2 linked regions of the Mus musculus genome follow. The protein of the gene in region 2 interacts with the protein of the main gene of each other region in a pairwise test. Links are inferred from orthologs where the notes say so. Each region holds a gene or a part of one and is shown on either strand. Other genes may lie near its edges.

The links.
Region 1: the proteins of Cdk1 (region 2) and Cdkn3 interact in a two-hybrid assay, tested with the Homo sapiens proteins (2 studies listed by BioGRID and IntAct). The link is inferred for Mus musculus from reciprocal best matches to the Homo sapiens genes CDK1 and CDKN3.

The regions. Positions count from the first base shown.
Region 1 is NC_000080.6:46,763,063-46,773,889, reverse strand, and holds the end of Cdkn3 (cyclin-dependent kinase inhibitor 3), read right to left. Parts: intron 9,367-10,827; coding exon 9,311-9,366; intron 8,895-9,310; coding exon 8,850-8,894; intron 6,715-8,849; coding exon 6,492-6,714; intron 5,025-6,491; coding exon 4,993-5,024; intron 4,058-4,992; coding exon 3,954-4,057; intron 2,490-3,953; coding exon 2,403-2,489; 3' UTR 2,369-2,402; downstream 1-2,368. UniProt on the Homo sapiens protein: May play a role in cell cycle regulation. Dual specificity CC phosphatase active toward substrates containing either phosphotyrosine or phosphoserine residues. Dephosphorylates CDK2 at 'Thr-160' in a cyclin-dependent manner.
Region 2 is NC_000076.6:69,345,430-69,356,873, forward strand, and holds the start of Cdk1 (cyclin-dependent kinase 1), read right to left. Parts: upstream 7,484-11,444; 5' UTR 7,407-7,483; intron 4,730-7,406; 5' UTR 4,704-4,729; coding exon 4,667-4,703; intron 803-4,666; coding exon 646-802; intron 1-645. UniProt on the Homo sapiens protein: Plays a key role in the control of the eukaryotic cell cycle by modulating the centrosome cycle as well as mitotic onset; promotes G2-M transition via association with multiple interphase cyclins.

The sequences.
Region 1 (10,827 bases), on a different chromosome or scaffold from region 2:
TCTTAGTAGTGTAACGTAGTACATGATTTTGAACAGCCTCCCAGAGTGATGCCTACAGAGAAAGATGTTCTGTGGCTGGATTTGTTGACTGTATTTCTCATAGCCATTTACTTTGACTAAAATACAGGTGTCTCCACCTAGTACCTGAAAGGAATGTATATAACAGCTTTTATTCCATTTACTTTGCAAAGTATTAGCCACAAGGCAGTGGGTCTGAGGTAGTGCGAGGGTTTTGTTCTACGTTCACTTTCTTGATACACATTGTAGAAGACATGCAGAAGAATGGCTGTCTCCCAGATGTCAGTGCCACTCACTGTACAGATGTGTTTGATTATTATGCTCATGTATTCTGGCAATGAGAGTTTCTTAAATGGATCGATGACTGAGTAGATGCTAAAACTTAGAAAAACACGGAAAATCGTGAAATATAGTTAGCTGTGTAGTGCATGGTTTGTTAAAATCTAAGCTTGTCAGTGCTATACTACTGTCCAAAGAACACTCTCTACTTAGCCCTGTCCTACTCCTGAGAGCTTCCTCCTTTTGCTTTTGCCTATTTAATAAAATCTGCCTCAGGCACTCCCTGTGTAATTGATGGGTGGTGGTTGAGTCTGTGCCAATTTCAAATGCAGCTAACATTGGCGTGCACAAGACCAGGTCCCTGTATTGTCTGCCTTCTCTGCCTGCACTGCTTTCAGGACATCATAGTCTGGGCAGAAAAAATACTTTCCTTAGAATGTTTGCATTGCAAGTCTTTAAAGTTCAGTACACAAGTGTGTTTCAGGACTAATAACGTATTTCCCTTTGCTGATAATTAAAGGTTTTCCTGTATGCTTGATTTTAAAATTTTAGTCAAGCATTTTGACTGTAGCAGATTAACAAGACACTTGCAGTGGGAACGGAGAGGTGCATACTCTGAAAATCCAGTTGCAGATGAAATGTTTCCTCCATAAGTACTCATAAGTGTTATACTGGATGGGAGTGACCGGGATTTGCTGGTGTGGAGGGAGTCCAGTTGGGTAGAGTTAGCATGAGAGCCTGTATTTGGTCCTTATACCCACATAAAAGTCTGATGTGTATTTGTAGTCCCAGTGCTGGGGACTTGGAGACAGGAGGGTCCTGCGGCTCCTGGACAGTCTACCCTACTTGGTAAGCTCCAGCAAATGAGAGACCCTATCTCAAAAAGCACAGTGGACAGGTCTTGAGGAACCTCTGATTTCCATATATATCCATACACATGCCCACATAGAGATTTGCTAGTGCCAGTTTCAGTGACTATCTAAAACGTCGTAAGTACTGTGATTTTAAAATTGATTGGAATAGCAGAATTGTGAAGGCCAGTCTATAATTGTAGCCTGTACTAAAACAAAGCCTCAAACATTTGAGATTGATTTGAGTCCCTGGCTTAAACATTAGATACTAGTGGTGTGTGATTCTCCCATCTTTCTTAGTATTCTCATAAGAATCTTCTAGAAGCTGGCAAGGCATGGTGACATATGCCTTTAATCTTGGCACTTGGGAGGCAGAGGCAGGTGGATTTCTGTGAGTTCAAGACTAACTTGGTCTATGTAGTAAGAGCCTATCTTTTGGTGGTGCGTTGTGCTGGTGCTCTGGGAGGGAGATGACTCTAAAACTCACAGTCCCTTATAATTCTGTAAGTCAGTGAAGTAGAAAAAAATCAGATCTTCAGGGGAGAAGAGGGTAAGAGTTACTGAAAAGTAGGAAGCAGGGTCTGCTTGTGAGAAGGCTCAGTTGATAAAAGCACTGGCCAGCAAGCTCAATGACCTGAATTTAATCCTGGAGCCCGTGTGCTGAAAGTGGAGAGCTGACTCTAGCATGTTGTCCTCTGACCTCCGCATGAACTGTTGTGGTTGTGCCCACATAAGTATATACACATTAAAGTTAGATACGAGTGTGCTTACAGGAAGTTCTTTTCTTTTTTCTAGACAGTATTTGTCTGTGTAGCACTGTGGCTGTCCTGGAACTCAAGCTGTAGACCAGACTGGCCTTGAACTCAGAGATCCACCTGCCTTTCTGAGTTCTGGGACTAAAGGTGTATGCTAGCACTGCCCAACCAAACACTTGATTTTTATCACTATGTACGTGCCTAGTACTGATAGTCAAATGAGGCCGAAGTGTGGCAAACTGTGCCACCTCAGTATTCATCTTCCCTGGCACTGTCTCTAGGTAAGATGGAACAGCCAGTGTATGTCTAGCTGGACAACAGTGTACCAGGTCTGCTGCCCTCTGCTGTGATACAACACCGAATTCATGACTCAAGCATTAGGAGGATCTGTACAGAACACTTATGTTCACGATGGTGGCAGCACTCGCAGTGTGCTCCAATACAGACTATGCTGGAGAACTTGGAGACCCTAGATGTGCTCGTTTATTTGGGATCTTCATTATCTGGACACAGATCTTGATAGTGAATCTCTTGATGATAGATACGCAGCTAATTTATCCCGGAATTCATGAAGATAGTTATATTGCTGAAAAAGAGTAAAGATATGTTGAATATACCGCAGAAAAGTAGGATCAGTGTAGACTCCATACTTAGCTAAGAGCAAATGTTTCTGAACCTTTAATTGGACTTGGGAAGGGGAGGAGATGCTGGCTGCGGGAGGCGTGGGAGGGGCAGATTCTGTAGACTCCGTCCTTTGCTGCTGGGACTAAGATTCAAAGTGAATCTGCTGTCCAGTGTGGAAGGGCCTACCTTTCTGCTGGTGTTTTTCCCCCACTGAACACTGAGGAGGGCATTCTTTGTAACAACAATGACACAGTCTAAGAGTGACTGGTGCTTTTGATGACAGTCCATTTGGAATAATTTTCATAAAAAATTAAAAAAACAAACCACTATATAGATAAGCTAAGTACTTTAAGCAGTTTATTGAAGTTTAAATATCTTTCCAAAAGATAGCTCTGACAGCCATCATTCCTGATAATGAACTGTACTGCTAGCTTTCCTTGGGAGAGGTGGTGAGGGCCCCTTAGCCACAAAATACCTAGGTAATGGGCCCAACACCCATATTAGTGTGGCTTCCATTCTCGGTGACACGGAAGATGTGACACATGTATAATTCATACCTATCTGATTGGATTTTGTTTGAAAGAGGAACTTCCTAAATTTGAAGCATTTGATGTTAACAGAATAAAGGGAGCTCTAGTTTCAGAGCCTGTGTAGAGAAGTGCATCAGGTAAGGTTTATTTTGTGAGTGGCTATATTTAAACCTTGAGAGGCGGGTTGCTTGGCTGGTAAGGGTGAATGTATAGTAAGTCTTGGTACTTGAAGCTGGACTAGACCTCTAACCCCAGGGAGGCAGACTCAGAGTCAGGCAGCCAAGGGTGAGGGCTCCTGAGTACCACTCTGGTGACAACCTAAAGCTTAGACAGAGCACCTGGCACAGTAAGACATGAACTTTAGAGGCGTGCACAAGCAGTGTCATCAGTGGGCTTGGGTAACATGATTTGTCACAGCCTGTGGTACTGCTGCCCTGTTGCTCAAGTGTTTAGGAGAATGGAAGGTATCCAGTATCCATGGCAACGTACAATAAAGTATTGCTCTACTGTTTTGACAGCATTCATCAACATCTCAGCGGCACAGTAGGGTGTATAAATTGCTTGGGATACAACTCCACCCAAGAAAAATGTTTATAGTAGCCATTTCCTGGCTGAGTCTGAGCATCAGCATGGGTACTGACTGGGACAGAGGCTGAACAATCGCAGATCCCTAAGAGGGTAAAGTGCAGAATTTAATTGTAAGTAGAAAAGATAAACCTGTGTGTGTGTACACGTGTGTGTGTGTGTGTGTGTACACGTGTGTGTGTGTGTGTGTATACACGTGTGTGTGCATGTGCATCACAGCTTTGGAAATTGAGCTTATGGCTCTCTTACACCCATTGCATTGTATTTGAAAGAGGCCACCAATGCAGCAGACAGAACAGCCCAGTTCTTACCTTGATGGTCTGTATCGCCCCAGATCCTCTGACATCTCGAAGGCTGTCTATGGCTTGCTGTGGTGAGATTGAGTCAGACAAGTATAGGAGGAGACAAGCAGCTACTGAGAACATGACAGAAAAGAACGGACTATTAAGAAACTGGCTTGATTTTGTTGCAGACTTGATAGTCAGTTGGACTTCCGTTGCAGCAAACTCCATCCAGTGTGAGCACACGGACTGAAAGATAAAAGACTGAGGCCCTTTATCCTGCACTCCCGAAAGTTAGCCTCGTCTAGCCGCACAGCTGCTATAAGCAGTGGCCCACACATTTCTGTGTGAATGTGTGCTCTGTTTCTCCTGGGTCTGGAGCTAGGAGTGGAGTTTTGAGGCATGGTAACTCTGGAGCTGAGGAAAAGAAGAGCTTTGCAGAGCAGTTGCACTGTGCTGCATTCCCAGCAGCAGCAGCAGCAGCAGCAGCAGCAGCAACAGCAGCAGCAGCAGCAGCAGCAGCAGCAGCAGCAGCACAGGTTCCTGGTTCTAGGGCTGCTCACTGATTTTGCACACCACAGCCACCCTGCAGGCTGCCATTGTGGGGCATCGCTTTCCGTGCTGTCTGCCTGTGTATTTTGGGGACATGTTTCCTCAGATCCTTTGCTCACTATTTAAAATTGCCACGTTGGTCTATGTATACTGAGTTGTATATTCCCTTATCAAATACATGGTGTGCAATTTTTCTTTTCCTATTCTATATATGGCCTTTCATTTTGACAATGTTCTTTCTTTTACAAAGGTTGTTAATTTGGATCTTGTTTATACTGTTTTATAATAATTACTACAGTGAGGCATTTCTTGTTTTTTTTGTTTTGTTTTTTGGCAGCACTCTTTAAAATTAACAGACAGTAAATAACTATACTTCGTTGCTATTATTCCTTCTTTGTTTGGGTTTGGTAAACTTATATTGTGGTTTTTCTCTCCTCTCTATATAGCGTGAGGTAAGGTCCCCAAACAGGAGTTGCCTACTTTGAAGTTAAACAGTTAATGAAAATATATTTCTTACCAAGACAGGATCTTCCAAGTCCTCCGTAACAACTGAAAGGGAAAGAGAGTTTTGAAGTTTGTTTATTTTCGTTTTCTCCCAAGTTACAACTCAAGACTTACTCTCTCTGCCTTCTGTTTACCTCTCCAACTCTGGGTACAGCACCTTGCACTCAGATCAGCATTGCTGAGTTATCACCAGAAGCAGTACATGCTCATTCATGTTGTCAGGTGTTCTGAATTCCTCTAAGGGTCAAAGAGGGCCTTAGTGACTACTGAACCCCAAACCCTACATCTGAGAAGCGGAACAAGTAGGAATCAAGACTCTGTCCTTTTGGTAAAATCTGAGTAGTTCTGGAGCAAGTGCCAACATACAATCATCCTTCCTTCCCCTGATGCAAGCACAGAGGTAGTCACAAAGGACTGGGCTCGGGTCCTGACACTGGCCAAGGTCCTCGAGCTTGCTTTCTTTTATCTGTGAGATGGTGTTACTAATAGAACCTGTATCAGAGTGAGCGTTGCACGTGGCAGTGTTTATAAAGGGCTCAGAACACAGGCTGGAGAGAGAAACCTCTGAATGCTAGTGGAAATGGCCTACCACCAAACAGTTCTGCAAAACTACACCTTCCAGGAAAACAACGATCAAAGCTGGAAAACATTCCTTTAAATCACCTTCAAAGATCCTCAAAAGCATATTGTAGGGAAATAGGGAAAAGCCCAGCCGTCAGCCACCACTTAGGGGAGCCTGACGCGTTCTCCCAATCCAGGATCACCCATCCGCCGAGCTTTTCTGTTTAAGCATCAGGTAGGAAGTTTGGCTGCTGGAACCTGCTTGGGGTAGAATTTCCTGAGCCTTACTAAACTCAACTGCCTTGATATCTGCAAAGATACAAGTTGCTTTAGGATCTTTGAAAAACAAGTTTAGAATCTGTTTCAAAAAATGGGCCTAAACACTCTTATTTTTTAAATAGCTACATCTGATACTATTTTACATATACTTACAAAGAAATTATACACAGTTGTGTATTCTGAAATTTTGCCTTTGGGTTACCTCATGATGGGTATGCTGTTTTTTATGGGACTCTACCATGCAAGGCTTTTTCATGGGTGCTGGGGTCAGCCTCAGGCCCTCATACCTCAGTGGCAAGCACTTTGCCAACTGATGCTCTTAATAGCCCATTGAAGTCATATTTCAAAAGACCACTTACTGAATAGGGAATTTTTTTTTCTGTGAATTTTGAAAGACAAGCAAGTGACTTCCTTGCTACTGAAAAGGCTGAGATGACAAGTTAAGAGACACGACAGACCAGGAGCAATGCCACAGGAGGAAAGGAGAAATGTCTCTACTCTAAACACTCGCAGCTCTGCTTGTGGCCAGTAGTACCCTTGAAGTGTGGAAGCAGGAAGTTCATGAGTGCTTCCTTCCTCGGTCCCAGGCCTGTCGTGCTCTTCTCATGCATTGGCTTTGTCCTGACGGCAGAGGAGGGAGAGCTGCTGTGTGGTACCCAGGGAAGAACGTACTGTATCAGGGTTTTCCGGTTGTTTTTGAGGCAGGTGGCCAGCTCCTCCATGATTTCCCAGCAGCTGCCAATGTCGGGAGTCCCTCCATCTGGGATCGGATGATGATGGGTGACAATTCCATATTGTTGGTAGAGGTCCAGAAGGTTTGGGACTCTATATTTTGACAGCTCCCCTCTGGTGCAGAAAACAAACACGTCTTGGATCCCGTAGCTCTTTAGTTCTTCTGCCAACAGACCAAGACACACACAGACGCGTGCATAAAACAGGACACATTTAAATACGATCAAGAGAGAGAATAGGGAGTTATGTTCTTCAACCAAACTAGTAACAGGTGCAACTTTGTAAATGTGAAATACCTAATGAAAATACCTGGAACAAAAGCTGATTAGAACTAAACCAGATTGATTGGTGAGTAAAATGCTTTTAAGTGATTGGCTGATGTTATTGATATTTTTGCATAAAAACTTAGGTTTTTTTTCCCCCTTGCAATAAATACTGTCTTAACATTTAAACTCTTGAGAAGGAATAGATAGCATCATTTTTAAGTCTCTCCTAGCCCTATGAAATCAGTCATGTTGACACTCAGGCAAGCATCACATTATCTCTAGCCATAGCTCTTGTGTTCTTCCCCTGTTCTGTGCCGTGCCACACTAATGTGGATTTACTTCTGTTGACTAGGTCTCGAGAAAGTAAGACATTAGCTGCACTAACCTTATATGGTTTAGCTCTTTTCATCTTAATAGTGGGAACCAAGAAGTATTTTTATAAGATTTTATCCTGGAACTTAAAAAAAAAGACTTTCTTTTTTTTTAATATTTATTTATTTATTTATTTTATTATATGTAAGTACACTGTAGCTGTCTTCAGAGACTCCAGAAGAGGGCATCAGATTTCGTTATGGATGGTTGTGAGCCACCATGTGGTTGCTGGGATTTGAACTCAGGACCTTTGGAAGAGCAGTCAGTGCTCTTAACCCCTGAGCCATCTCTCCAGCCCAAGATTTTCCTTTTTTAACTGTGCATATAAATGTATGTCAGGATGGGGGTAAATGCACGTGTGTGCAGGTGCCTGTGGAGGCCAGAGGGCTTCGGATCTCTGGGATCTGGGGTTACAGGTAGTCCTAAGCTACCCGATGTGGGCTCTGGGAACTGAATACTGGTCATCTGCAAAAGCAGCACCCACTTTTAACCACTCTCTAGCTTCTGGACCTTCTTTACGGCACTATTCATTCTGGATTATTCATTTCAAAATAAATAATTCCCAGCCCCAACTGTCAACATTCATCTAGTCTAAGTACAAAGTTTTGTCAGTTGAAGTACACTTCATACACCTTGTTTTAACGGCAAAGAGAATAAAGATCAAAATGATTTTACTAATAATTTGCATGATTTTATATTTTCTCTCGTGTGGAGATATATATATGTGTGTGTGTATTATATATATATGATATTCCTAGTAATATATAATGTAATATAGATAATATATATGATAGGAAAGTAGAACAGAGATTATGTGGGGGAAGGAAAAGATCTAAAGAGAGAAGGAAGGTGGAAATGAAGGCAATGTGGCCTAAACATTGTATATTTTTACAATTGTAAAATAATTTTAACATGTAGTTAAGTTAGTAAAGCTTTCAGAAGAGGGAGTAATTTTCTATAATGTCTTCTGTCCGCTGTATGGTGGCTTTCAGGGACATTCTAGGTCTTCCTCACCAGGTATTTTGATCTGTTCTATATAATGGATTTTATGTGTGACTTCATTGTTTAAAAAAAAAAAAGTTAATGAAAAAACTAGAATCTTCTTTTTATAAAAGCTGCTAAATAAATAGGAAATTCTAAAATGTGTAATAGTAGTTCTGAACCAATGATTTAAATAGTATTGCTTATAACTTACATGTCCTCCAAATGAAACATGTAAGCTAACTACTATCGTTGTATGTGTACCAAATGCAGGACATATTTGTAAATTCCACAAGGGTCAATTCAAGGATTAGTCTCTTTTTGTCCTTTTTGTTTTTGCTATCCTCTGGCTGGCCTGAAGCTTGCTGTGGAGGCCAGGCTGGCCTTGAATACACAGATATCTGCCTGTCTCTTTGCTGGGGTCAAAGGCAGGTTTTCTATTTACATACTTTTCTCCCTCAAACAGACATAGTCTGCCATGTGTGTATAACTAGGACTGCGAAAAAGTTGTGTTCATGTAAATGATGACTCCTCGGCCTGTTACAGATACCTCTTCACATTCGAGAAGTTCACAGAGATGCCAAAAGAATTTATTTTATATATTGAGAAGAGAATACAGTTTGACAGATTTCAGGCTTAAAACAAGACTAGTAGTAGGCTTTTGTCACAGTGAACCTACCTGTATCTTTCTGAATATTTCTTCTAACATCTTTAAACTTACAACCTATAGATAAGGCAAGTAAAAAAACGAATCAGTTGTTTATAATCAGTTTTTTACAATCAGTTGTATAAGAAAGCATATTTGAACATATGTACATGCTACTGTAAAAAGTCATTTTACATGGCTATTCATGTTTCAATTCCATTTTAACTGTACATATTAATTTCTGACTCTTAGAAACATAGCTGTGGAGACTGGTAAATTTCACTAAAGGAGTCCAGGAGCAGGAGTTCCTGGCCATGGTCTTAACCTCATTTGTACCACTGAATTGGGAAAGTTAGAAATGTAGCCCTGGATGCAGAAGGTGTTCCTGAAGGCTTCTCTAAACAAGCTCACCGGTCTGTATGCACTGAGCCACCCGTCAGCTCACCAAGATCTGCCCTCATATTAGTAGGAAGCCATCGAGTGTTCTCACCTACCTGGAAGAGCACATAAACCGAGAAACTGGGAACAATTCACTCGCGACAGAGGTAGCCTGTGAAGGGAAATTTATCAAGCTTAGTTTTTAAAATTGTACAAATGGAAATTGAGCCTGCCCAACAAGAGCATCTGCCCCAGAGTAAGGAAGGCTGCATTAACATCTACAGCAGTCACAAAGCACCAGTCCATAGTTAGCGTGGGGATCAGGGAAGGCCTGCAGTGAGCAAAAGTACGGAAATGGGGACTGACCTACTTTAATGCCAAGTAAATCTAAAAGAGCAAGTTGAGAGTTTACCATGAAGGTAATGGTTCCTGAACACTCTACAGGTAGAGCCAGCAACCCTGTGGTATGATCCCAAAAGCTTAGGGCCAAATGCTTTTCAGTTTCAAGATGCTAGAAGGATTGCATAGACCTGACCAACTGAACATCCCAATTTGAATACCTAAAAGTCAAAATTCTCAAAATAAAAATATCTTCTCAAGTGTTTGTGTGATTCTCACGAAAGTTTTGCACTTGGGCTATTTGAGATTTCAGAAGCGGAGGTACTCAGTCAATAGTAACCTTAGTTGAATGAACTGGAAAATTCCATCTTAATATTAATTTTGCAGTGTTAAACTTTTCTGGGTAAAATCGCCTTATAGATATAATTTCATATGAAGAGAACAGGATACCATTCTTTATTGTGAATACTTTTGATTAAAATGGAAAATGTTTCTAGACCTCACAGTCCTAGTTTACAGTACCCACGGACAGAGGCTCCCCACCTGTGTGTCAGGAGATGAGTACTGAGAAAGGCCAGCGCCATCATAGAAACAACAGCTGGGATGGAAAACTAGACTTAGTTTTGAATAAAAGGTAATACTTATTTGATGACAGAGTAAAAGACAATACTCAGTCCTCACTCTTCCTGTGGAGGGAAAGGGATCAGAAGTTTAATTTTCGGTGCTGGGACATGAGTTAAGCCATATCCTGGTAAGACTACTGGCTTTATGGGGATGAGAGGTACGGTTTAGTTGCTGGTTGCAGACACCCTGGCGTGATCATAAGTCTCACGCCATGACTTGGGAACTGATTGACGATGGTCCACCTAACTGCACCAAGAACTGCCTAAGGGACTGGCAAGGTGCACCAGTCCTGGAGGTCCTAACCTAAAGAACAGACTATGGAAGGTGAGGGGGAGGAGTGCTTGGCTGACTGGAAAACATGTTGGGGTATGTCCCTCCCTGGCTACTTCATGTTACCATTCTACTCTGCTTCCTGGCAACCATGGTCAGAGTTCCTGTGTCCCCCCATGTACCTGCCCCCTGCTACAGTGGATGGAAATATCAAAAATGATGGGCTAAAATGAACCTTCCTCCCTTAAGTCATGTATGTCAGGTAGAAATAGTTATACTGATACAGCTTTTATTTAAATGGTCTGCTAATAGGCCCATCATCGTGACCAGTATTAAGTAGGATTTAATTTACTGATTAATTATTAAATATACCATTTTGGGCATTACTGTTTCTCTCAGA
Region 2 (11,444 bases):
GCAGGTCACGCCAGCTACCAGAGGTGCTAAGTAAGGCAAGGATCTCTAGATGCAAAGGATGGAGTGAGCACAAGGTCACCCTGGGTAATTCTGTGAGTGCTGGAGACTGGGTGCGGTGGTTTAAACCCATAATCCCGGCACTTGGGAGCTAGAGGACAGCAGTAAATTCCAGGCCAACCTGGGTGAGCTAGAGTAATATCCTGTCTTAATAATTTCAAAACCCCATATTAGGAGGCCAGAGGCTACAGCTCAGTGGTAGAGCACTTTCTTAGCTCTACCCAAAGGCCTGGGTTCAGTCCCTCCTACCAACAGAAATTCTAATGAACCACCAGACAACGTCCTCAATGACCCAGCCCAAGCAAGTCAATAAAGCATAGCTTATCTACCTCAGCCTGGCCCCTGGTCTCAGGAGCCTCTGGGGACCTGGGCCCTAAAAGTAGGAGCTAAGCAAGCTCCCCATGGAAGGGGTCCCAGGGCTGTGCCTTGCTCCTCTAGCCAATTCTAGCACCCTGTCTCAAATTCTCCAAACACCATCAGCAAAGCAGGACTCCATCCCACTTGAACCAGAAAGTACATAAAAATTTCTACTTTAAAACAGATGTGCAGCAGCACAGGGAGAGTGGCTTCAGTTCTAACACAGCACACCTGACTATATTTGGATGTCGAAGTTCTTTTAATAGAGAGATTTCCCGAATTGCAGTACTGGGCACTCCTTCTTCCTCGCTTTCAAGTCTGATCTTCTTCATGGCCACTATCTGGCCAGTGACTCTGTGTCTACCCTTATACACCACACCGTAAGTACCTGAAAGAAAGCAAAGAGATTTTCTTCTAAGTTGAACTCTTTGAGTATCACACGAGAGAAATGCCAGCTGCAGTCAGATAGGCCCCTCACATCATTAAACCCTCACTGCTTTCAAAAAGGCATTGAAGATAACTACGATCTAACATATACATGGTTTGGAAATAAAGCCCACTGAGTCATCCTACATCTCCCTCCCAGTTAAGCTTCCTTCACGTGAACATTAGGACATGGATCAGGTTGAAATTCACCTATCAAATATCCTGCATGTAGTCGCTACATTAAAAACTTAAGATTGGAAATCAGTACCAAGAGGAGGCACTGTGAAACTTCCAAAAAACTGGACTGCCTTAGGACTTCCTTGATACCTTACACATCTCAAAACACAACCACCTGTCCTCACCCGGCAGAGTGGAGACAGAAGCACCATGCATTTGTATTAAACCCAATAAAGCTGCTATCTTGTACTAGAGTGGGTCTACCCACTGGGATGTGGGAAACACTAACCTGGGTGAAGTCACTTGACCAGCAAAGGCAGGAAGAAAGGACAGCATGGGCTGTGGCAGACACAGAGAGGTACGCTAATTAGGTGTCTCACACCCCTGCTACTCTTCAGGTGCGGATTCCCTAGCTATCTATGAACTTTGTTGAAAAGCTTTTCATGGTATGGTATAGCTTCAGCAATGACTACAACAGCAGGCCTGGTGACACACAGCTGCTTGTAAGACTGAGGCAGGAGAATTACAAGTTGGAGACAAGCGTGGAGAACTTAGTAAGACCCCCGTCTTGGAAGTCAAAGGTCCCCACGTTTACATGCCTGTAATCCTATCCCTGGGGAAAAGCTGAGGCAAGGTTAGAACTTGTCTAAAAGCACCAAAGGGTGAGAGCAGCTTCCTCCAAACGTAAAAGCTACTCCACAGCATTTACTGGCTCTAAGACTCCATCCCAGCAATCAACTGCTTAGAAAATTAAGCAGCTTGCTGCCCACATAAGCTTTATTCCAGCATTCTTTAAATTCCAGGACTGTTTGTTTTCCTAAACACTACAGTTATTTTAATATTACTTCCAATAAAATCCTAGGGGATTAAATAATCAAGTTATTCCAGATAAAAAGAACCGACAACATTCTGTCTGCGAAGCCACAGGAAATCTGTGAGCTCACATGTTCCTGAATGGTGGATATCATGCTTGTCTGAAGCCACGAGCAAGCTGGCACTATCCTAGCAGTCACAGTTAGTCAGGTAAGCAATGGTCAATCCAGGATTCTTTCTGGCATCTTGTTCCCTCCCGGTGTCCTGCTGCATTTCTTGACAAATGTGCAGAACGAACTCAGGAATGGCAGTCAACACCCAGTAACCGTTGATTCGGAGACAACACAGAACTGCTTGTTCTGAGTATCTCAACTCCTGGCTCTTCTCAGTTAACTGCAACAGGGCACTATTCATAAGCTAAACAGTAGATGTTCTGAAATTAAACATTTGTTTTAGATCCTGAAGTATTTTAAGTAATAATTGAGGAGGGGAAAGTATCAGGTAAGGCTGGGGAGGCTCGGGGTTTAGACCACACTGTCCTTGCAGAGGACCAGGACCCACACCAGGGCTCAGCCTCCTGTAAATGCAATGCCAGAGGAGGTAACACTTCTGGCCTCCATGGGCTATGCACACCTGTGTGAATGAGCGCGCACAAACATACACATACATACATACATACATACACACACACACACTCTGAATTTTAGCAAATGTCATACAAGTGAAAGCAAGAGTAAGATCCCAGTTATCCTGGGTAAAGTCTTGATAACACTGCCTGGTAAAAGCCATTAAACCTCATCAAAAACAAATGTTTCTAGCGTGCTTACTGAATGCCAAGGAAGGCCCCACCAACCACATGGAGCCAGGCAGCTGTGTAACCTGAAGACGAGACAGTCTTCTCTGTCCTGCTGGGCATGGCGACCAACAATACACAGGTGACTACGTAAGAAAATGCTAACACGGGACAAACACATATTCGCAGGTTTCACTGAGTACTTGGAATTGGCAGAAGAAAACGTCGACAGCAGTATGTAATTTTCAAATTATTTCAACAAGCCGCTATTCAGGATCCCCCCCCAGAGAATCCAGAACAGCCAGGCACAATGTAGCAGACAAGCCTCTAGGCCAGAGAATTCAGAAAAGCAGGTCAAAGGTCACAGCTGAAAAGCTGTGAGAGGTGCCCGAGGCCCAGAGCAAACTGGGAATACCGAGGCTGCCTGGAAGAAAATGAATAAATCCTTCAACTACAACATTGGTTCTCAACCTGTGGGTCGATAGCTCTTTGGAGAGGCACACATTATCAGATATTCTGCATATCAGATACTTATGTTATGACTCATAAGAGTAGTAAAATTGTTATGAAGAAGCAACAAAACTAATTTAATGGCTGGGGAGTAACCACGACAGGAGGAACTGTATTAAAGGGTTGTGGTGTTAGGAAGGCTGAGAACCACTGCTCTAGAACAAGTTAAAGAGTGAGCCCAGGAGGGGATGGCTTCAGAAAGTCCTATCTAAGGTCATCAAAAAGGGGGAATGGCCCAACTGGACCGGTGAGTGGCAGTGGATGTCACTGGCGAGGGGAAGGTGTTACCAAGGAAGGAGACAGTTGAAGAGATGTTGTCACATTAAAAAGAGAAAGCCCCAGAGGCGCACCAGACACTGCCAGGGCCATTCCTGGTTTGCTAAGTCCCCTGCCTTGGTTTTCATGCCCTGTGTAAGCAGGGTCTCTAAACATTGGTGAAAACAACCCTCAACAGAAGCCACACAGAAACAAGTTCCTCTGTTTGCTCCTGGAGAGCTAAGAATGAAGTCTTGACTCCTACATAGAAATATGGAAATTCTGTTGCGGGGAGAAGAAAACAACAATAGAGAGGACTAGGAAAGGGTTCTTTTCATTCCTCCTTATGTCCCATAGGCCTCAGCACTGTTTAAAATACTACAGAAGGGGACTGAACACCATGTGACAGCCACTAGTCATTCTTGCCCACGGTGACCACACAGACCACCACCCAGCTTACATAAAACTCAGAACCAGTACTTAGAAAGACTAAAATGTACTGTGAAGTTAGCATAGATTATCTCCCTAGTCGACTCCCCCAGCACACCTGCACCCCAAACACAAGCATCTGGGGTACTCAGTTCAATAGCCTAGAGCACAAGGCCCTAGGGTCCTTAGCAAGAATCAGGATAACTAAAACCCTCCTGATGGAGAAGCACCTTGTGCTTCAGGTTATCCGTAAAGCATGCTTTCTTTTTTTTTTCTTTTCTGTTTTTCGAGACAGGGTTTCTCTGTATAGCCCTGGCTATCCTGGAACTTTGTAGACCAGGCTGGCCTCGAACTCAGAAATCCGCCTGCCTCTGCCTCCCAAGTGCTGGGATTAAAGGTGTGTGCCACCACGCCCAGCTGCGTGCCTTCCTTTTGCTGGTGCTGTGAGAAACACCCAGACAAAAGTAGCCCAAGGAAGGGTTTGTTTGCACTCAGGATCGGGGTTAGAGTCCAGCAGCAGCAGCAGCAAGAGCACAGGCAGTGGGAGAGTGAGGTTCACTGTGGCTTGACACCCTTCTCCAGTCACACAGTCCAGGATCTCAGGCAAGGAAGGCACCCACACTGGGGGAGGTTCCTGCCCACGTCAATTAATAGAGTCAAAGACAATCCCCTACAGGTGTGCTCAGAGTGATCCCAGATCCTGTCTAGGAGGCCACAAACACCAACTCTCACAGCACACTCATGCGCACGCGTACAGATGCATCTACGACTGCACTCAGTAAAGGTTTCTGTGTTCCACAGTAGCATTGTTATCTTCTTTTCAAAAAACATTCTGCTAAAACCACTTACCTTCTCCAATTTTCTCTATTTTGATATAGTCTTCCATAGTTACTCAACAGGTTACGACGGACCCTAAAATGAGGGGAAACAGTGCTGTGATTCCGTGCTACTAACTCAAAAACAGTCTAAGCATCATCTGGAAGACATCTTTTCCAGGGCCTCCCGCGTAGCCGGCAAACGTCAGTCATCCCAGATGGTCAGATGGTCTTGTTAGGGTTTAGCTGTTCTTGCAAGTGAGCCATTCTGAGCCTTCTCAGACACTGCGTTTGTATATTCTACACAGCCAAGGGCTTAGCCCCTTCACATGCACAAAGCAAGCAGGCCTGTCAAGCCGGCCACTGTGGAGACTGATACACAGCTAGCTAAAGCAACTTAGTGACACTATGTCTCAAAATTTACCAAAAAAAGCAAAAGGCCCTGATCCCCAGGGCTGAATTTCAGCACACTACTACCGTACTAAAATGGTGTACTGTTTTAGTTTTTCTTAAAATAATAAGAGTCTGCGAGAAGGAAGTTGTGCACGATGTAATCCTAGCACAGGGAAGAACAAGTTCAAGGCCAACCTGTGGCCTCGTTCGCTGCAACACTGTTTCAAAAGGAAACAAAGTACAACTGTAAAGTCCAACCACTAGGAATAACAGTTGTTGTTGTTGTTTTTAATAAAAGCATCTGTTTACCTTATAAGCATTCAATTCTCCAGGCAGTGGTGGCACATGCCATTAATCCCAGCACTTGGGAGGCAGAGGCAGGCGGATTTCTGAGTTCGAGGTCTACAAAGTGAGTTCCAGGACAGCCAGGGCTACACAGAGAAACCCTGTCTCGGGGGAAATAAACAAAAAACAAAAATCATTCAATTGAATGCTTCCCAAAAGCAGCCACAGACAATCCCACTCAAGGTACTCAAAGAGAAAGAAATGTCCATAAGCACCTTAGAAGAAAGAATGGAAGGTGTTGTGCTGTGCTGGCTAGCTTTAGGCCAGGTCACATTGTCACAAGCTGAAGTCATCTTGAGAGGAGAGAACCTCAGTTAAGAAAATGCTCCCATAGGATGGGGCTGGAGGCAAGTCTTTAGGTCAGTTTCTTAATTAGAGATTGATGGGGGCGGGCTCAGCCCGTTGTGGGTGGGGTCATCCGTGGGCATATAGGGTCCTGTGTTCTTAAAGCAGGCTGAGCAAGCTATGTGAAAGAAGGCAGGAAGCAGCCCCCTCCATGGCCTCCTGCCTCCAGGTTCCTGTCCAGACTTCCTCTGAGGCCGAACTGTGACGTGGAAGTACAAGACAACTAAACCCTTTCCTTCCCAAGTTCCTTTGCTTTGGTCATGGTGTTTCATCCCAACAACGCTAAGACAGTGTGTTTGCTAATCATGCTTTGAAAAATATCACGAACAAGGGAGAAACAATTTCTTGGCTCACAAAGAATGGTAGGAAAAAGGTGTGCCTTCTCCTTGAAAGCCCTCTGCCACGGGTGACAAGATCCTTATGAATGAGCATCAAGGAATGGCTGACCTCTCGTGAGCTGTTCCTTACAGATCTCTTTCCACAGTAAAATCAACTCCATGGGGTGTGGGGGCACAGCCAGGAATCCCAGCTCTTGGCACTGCACAAGGAGGCAGCGGCTCAACAGATAAAAATTCAGAAGGAAAATGTAAACCCGTCCAAGGGTCCTGCCAGGCATCCCACTGAACCCTGGGGATTCTCAGACACATAAGATTGACTCTCAACTATGGAGATTATGTTTAGGAAATTTCAACGCATCCCCCCCCAACCCCCTTTCTTCAATACAGAGACTTAATATAACTATAGAGCATTAAACGTTTCAACCACCTCTGCACAGACAGCAAAGAGTTAACATGTCTTGAAAGCTGGGCTTATTTCCTTCCAACATTTTCCAGTCTCCCGGGCCTGCTGTTAAAAGCTGCCCAGTGTATCCAAGTTGGGGGCAGGCGATGGTGGCCCGCACATCAGAACCTTCATCGGTATTTATGTTTTAAGACGATCAAGGACGCGAAGGCATCCGCGGTTCTCCCTCTCTCTCCTTCTTTGCCTGGGTACAGTCTGTGGCCTTAGCACAGGCAACTAAAAATAAACGATCCTACACTTTCTTGGTTCTGCACCTTGGTAGGAATAAGCTTTTTAAACGACCACGGGTCTGTTTCTCCGGCAGTACCGACTTAAGGCCTCCGAAGGCAGCTGGCCTGGTGCAGCCCAGCTCCACACTGGCAGCCAACAGGGCCTGGGACATAACTTGGCACCCCGCCCACACCCGGGCCCACTCCAGCGAGGCCCATCCAGTCTGCAGGAACCTGGAGCTCGCGTAGGGGCCTGCACGTCCGCAGGACCCGGGGCTCAAGTGAGCCTTGCCCTTCCATAAGGGACCGCTGGATCGGGTGAGCCCTGCCCCCCCCCCCCATAGGGATCCCAGGCTCCGGTGAGCCCTGCTCCTCCATAGTGTCCCCAGGCTCAGGTAGGCCATGCTCCTGCATAGGGGACCCTGGCCTCAGATGAGGACATGCTCATCCATAGGGTACCCCAGACCCCGGGCTCAGGGAGGCCATGCCCGACCATAAGGGATCCCGGACTTAGGTGAGGCCCTACCCGTCCACAGGAGACCAAGATCTCACGTGGAGGCCCTACCCGTCCACAAGGGATCCCCAGGCTCACATGGATGTCCTGCCCTTCCCCGGGGGAACCCCCAGATCCCGTGGAGCCCCCGCAGGCCCAGCCTGCACCCAGTCCGACTCACGCCATACCTCTCTGTCCCGGCTGGGGCCACACCGCAGTTCCGGACTGCGCGGACGCAGCAACTCCAGGAGCTTAGAGGCCGAGTGCCAGCAGTTTCAAACTCGCCGCGGTAAAGCTCCCGGGATCCGCCAATCCGATTGCACGTAGACGTTCAAAGGAGCCAATCAGAGCTGAGCTACGCTTGGGCGGGGCTGCCTGGGAGCGCAGAGCGCGAAAGGGAGCGGAAACCGCGGCCAGAGGAATTGCAGGAGGGCGGGCGCCAACTGACTCTTGAGCTCTGTTTTCCTTCCAATATCGTCCTGTTGTTTCTGGACAGTCTAATCTATTCTCTTTTTTCTCCAGCTACCTTTCTGTGTGTAATTTCCCTCCAAGACTAACACAATTCAAATGCATTGAATTTAGATAGCCAGCCACCAAAGTGACAGTACCACTACATCAAGAGCTTGTTATTAGCTGGGCGTGGTAGCACACACCTTTAGTCTCAGCTTTCGGGAGGCAAAGGCAGGGCAAATTTCTGAGTTCGAGGCCAGCCTGGTCTACAGAGTGAGTTCCAGGACAGCCAGGGCTACACATACAGAGAAACCCTGTCTCGAAAAACCAAAAAAAAAAAAAAAAAAAAAAAAGAGTTTCTTACTTTTATTTTGTTTTGTTTTGAGACAAGGTTTCTGGGTGTAATTTTGACTGACCTAGAACTTGCTCTGTAGACCAGGCTGGCCTTGAACTCACAGAGATCCTCCTGCCTCTGCCTCCAGAGTACTGGGGTTAAAGGCGTGTGCTGCCACCACCACCTGGCTATTGCTAACATTTAAAATTACTTTATGATTATGCCTTTCAAAATTCTATATTAAGCTGGGATAATATAAATAATATATAATATTAATATATAATATATTAGTTTACATATGTATGTGTGTATATATATGTGTGTGTGTGTGTATATATGTGTGTGTATATATATATATACATATATATATATATATATATCTGAGGATTGTGGCACACACCTTTAATATATGTATATATATAATATTAAGTTTCACTATGGAATTTTCAGACAATATTGGTCTGTGTTAATTCTTCTCATCCCTTCTCCCAGTAACCCTAGTCCCCGCACCTCGTAACTGCACGCCCCCAAGCCCATAGCCCTCTGTGTCCTATCACCATGTCCATGACTCTAATCCCCCCCCCCACTCGGGCAGCCTTTCCTTTCTAGTTGGAACCTTATATACACACTAACATATGAACATTACATGCTAGGATCCGCCTATGAGAAAGAACATGAAGTGTCTGTCTCTCTATGTCTGTGTCAGGTAACTTGATGTATTTTCCAGCTCTCCCGTGTTCCTGCAGATTATGTTTTTTTCAATGAGTTTTTAGCAGCCAGCAGAAGGATCACATTTAAAGTACCTTAAGAAGACAAGAGGATAGGAACCAATGAAACACTGAAAGACACCCTCAAAACTGAAAAGAAAAAATGCCAGCCTGTTTCTGTGATTATACACTTATGTATTCATTATGTATACAATGATAACACACTAAATGTTTTGACATATCTCCACATAAGAATGTTAAATATTGGGCTGAAGAGATGGCTCAGAGGTTAAGAGCACTGTCTGCTCTTCCTAGAGGTCCTGAGTTCAATTCCCAGCAACCACATGATGGCTTATAACCATCTATAATGAGATCTGCTGCCCTCTTCTTGTGTGCAGGCATACATGTGTGTAGAATACTGTATACCAAATAGATAAATCTTTTTTTTAAATGTTAAATATTCCTTAGAAATCAAACCTTCACAAATCTATGAACAAACAAAATGTCATCTGTTTTATCGGCTCTAAGTCAACACCAAAAGCTCTATCTTGCCACCACCCTCAGACCACATCCTTCAAAGAGGCTGTGCTCCACTTTGAAAAGATTCTCAACTCCTCAAGAAAATGAAGCAGTGTGGTGTGGGACCAGAGAGATGGCTCAGCCATTAAGAGCATTTGCGCACAATCATGAAGATGGGAGTTCAGATCCCTCCACCAACAAAACAAACCCAGCATCCTTGTAAATGCCTGTAACCCCAGCTCTGAGGGAGTCCACTCTGTCTTCTCATCTCCATAGGTTTGCATAGGTACTCGAATGCACACAACACACACACACATGTGCACACACACAGACATACACACATAATTAAAATAAACCCTTTTTAATAAAAAAAAAAGTGAAGCAGCATGACAGAGCTGAGGATAATGAGGGGCAGTCTAGGATGGCAGCTGTCTTTGCCTGGACTTCATAGGAGGAGGAAGGCACATCATATCCTCTTAGACAAGACTAATACAGGCTAGAAGACCTGCATCAGAATGAAGAATAAACTAGCTTATCGCATGGGAGCCCATGTCTGCTTCCCCCACTCCGTGATGGGTCTCTATTTGGCTTGACCCTATGCAGGTCTTGCGTGTGCTTCCACAGTCTCTGTGAGTCCAAGTGAGTCTCAAAGACATGGTTTCCTTAGAGTCATCCATCTCCTCTGACTCTTACAATCTTTTTGCCTCCTCTTCCGTATAGATCTGTGAGCCTTGAGGCTATGGGGGCTGATGAACACATCTCATTTAGGACTGGGTGCTCCAAAGTCTCTCACTATGGCCACATTGTCCAATTGTGAGTCTCTGTGTTAACTCCATCTCCCCATTCTGTGCAAGAAGCTTTTCTGATGTGGGTTGAGCTAGGCACTTATCTATGTGTATAGAAGTATGCTATTAGCAGTCATTTTATTGCTATGTTCCTTTAGCAGGATAATAGTATTTGGTTTCCCCCTAGGTCCATAACTTACCTAGTCTTAGGTCCTTGGTCACTTTCACAGTGTCAGATAAGAGATCCATCTCATGAAGTGGGCCTTCCGTCCTATCACAATGTAGTTACTTCCATAACATGTGTCACTCTTGTGCCACTGTGTCTTATAGACAGGTTACTGTTGTAGGTCACAGGGTTTGTAGCTGAGTAATATCATGTTCATTTAAAAACACAATACTGGGAGCTGGAGAGATGATTCAATAGCTAAGAGCGTTTATTGCTCTTTCAGGTGAGCCAGGTTTGATTCCCAGCACCAATATAGAGACTTCAAACCATTAGTCACCCCAGTTCCTGGAGAACCAATGTCCTTTTCTGACCCTCTAGGAAGCCAGGAATGACATGACACCCCAATGTACTTACAGGCAAAGCACTGACACATCTAAAGTTAAAAGAAACAAATGAAATTCTGTGGGGCATTGGGAAGACAAGTCCTCATAAAATAAAACTCTTTATTTCAAAAATTAATAAGTGTCTTAGTTAGGCATTCTATTGCTATGATGAAACACGTATGACCGAAAGCAAGTTGGAGATGAAAGGGCTTATTTGGCTTATATTTCTACATCATAGTCCATTATAGAAGGAAATCGGGATAGGATCTCAAACAGGGCAGGAGCCTGGAGCTGTTACAGAGGCCATGGAGGGGTGCTGCTTATTGGCTTGCCCTCCATGGCTTTGCTTAGCCAGCTTTCTTAGAGGAGCACCTGTCCCAGGAGAGCACCACCCACAATGGTCCGAGCCCTCCTACATCCTTAACTAATTAAGAAAATGCCCTATAGTCGGATATTATAAAGGTATTATCTTGAGGTTCCCTCTACTACCTGGTTTTGTGTCAACTTGACGCAAGCTGGAGATATCACAGAGAAAGGAGCCTTCCTTGAGGAAACGCCTCCATGAGATCCAGCTGTAAGGCATTTCTCACTTAGTGATCAAGAATGGGAAGGCCCATTGTGGGTGGTGCCATCCCCGGGCTGGTGATCCTGGATCCTATAAGAAAGCAAGCTGAGGGCTGGAGAGATGGCTCAGTGGGGAAGAGTACCGACTGCTCTACCGAAGGTCCTGAGTTCAAATCCCGGCAACCACATGGTGGCTTACAACCATCTGTAATGAGATCTGACGCCCTCTTCTGGTGTGTCTGAAGTCAGCTACAGTGTACTTATGTATAATAATAAATAAATCTTTACCAAAAAAAAAACCAAAAAACAAAAGAAAGC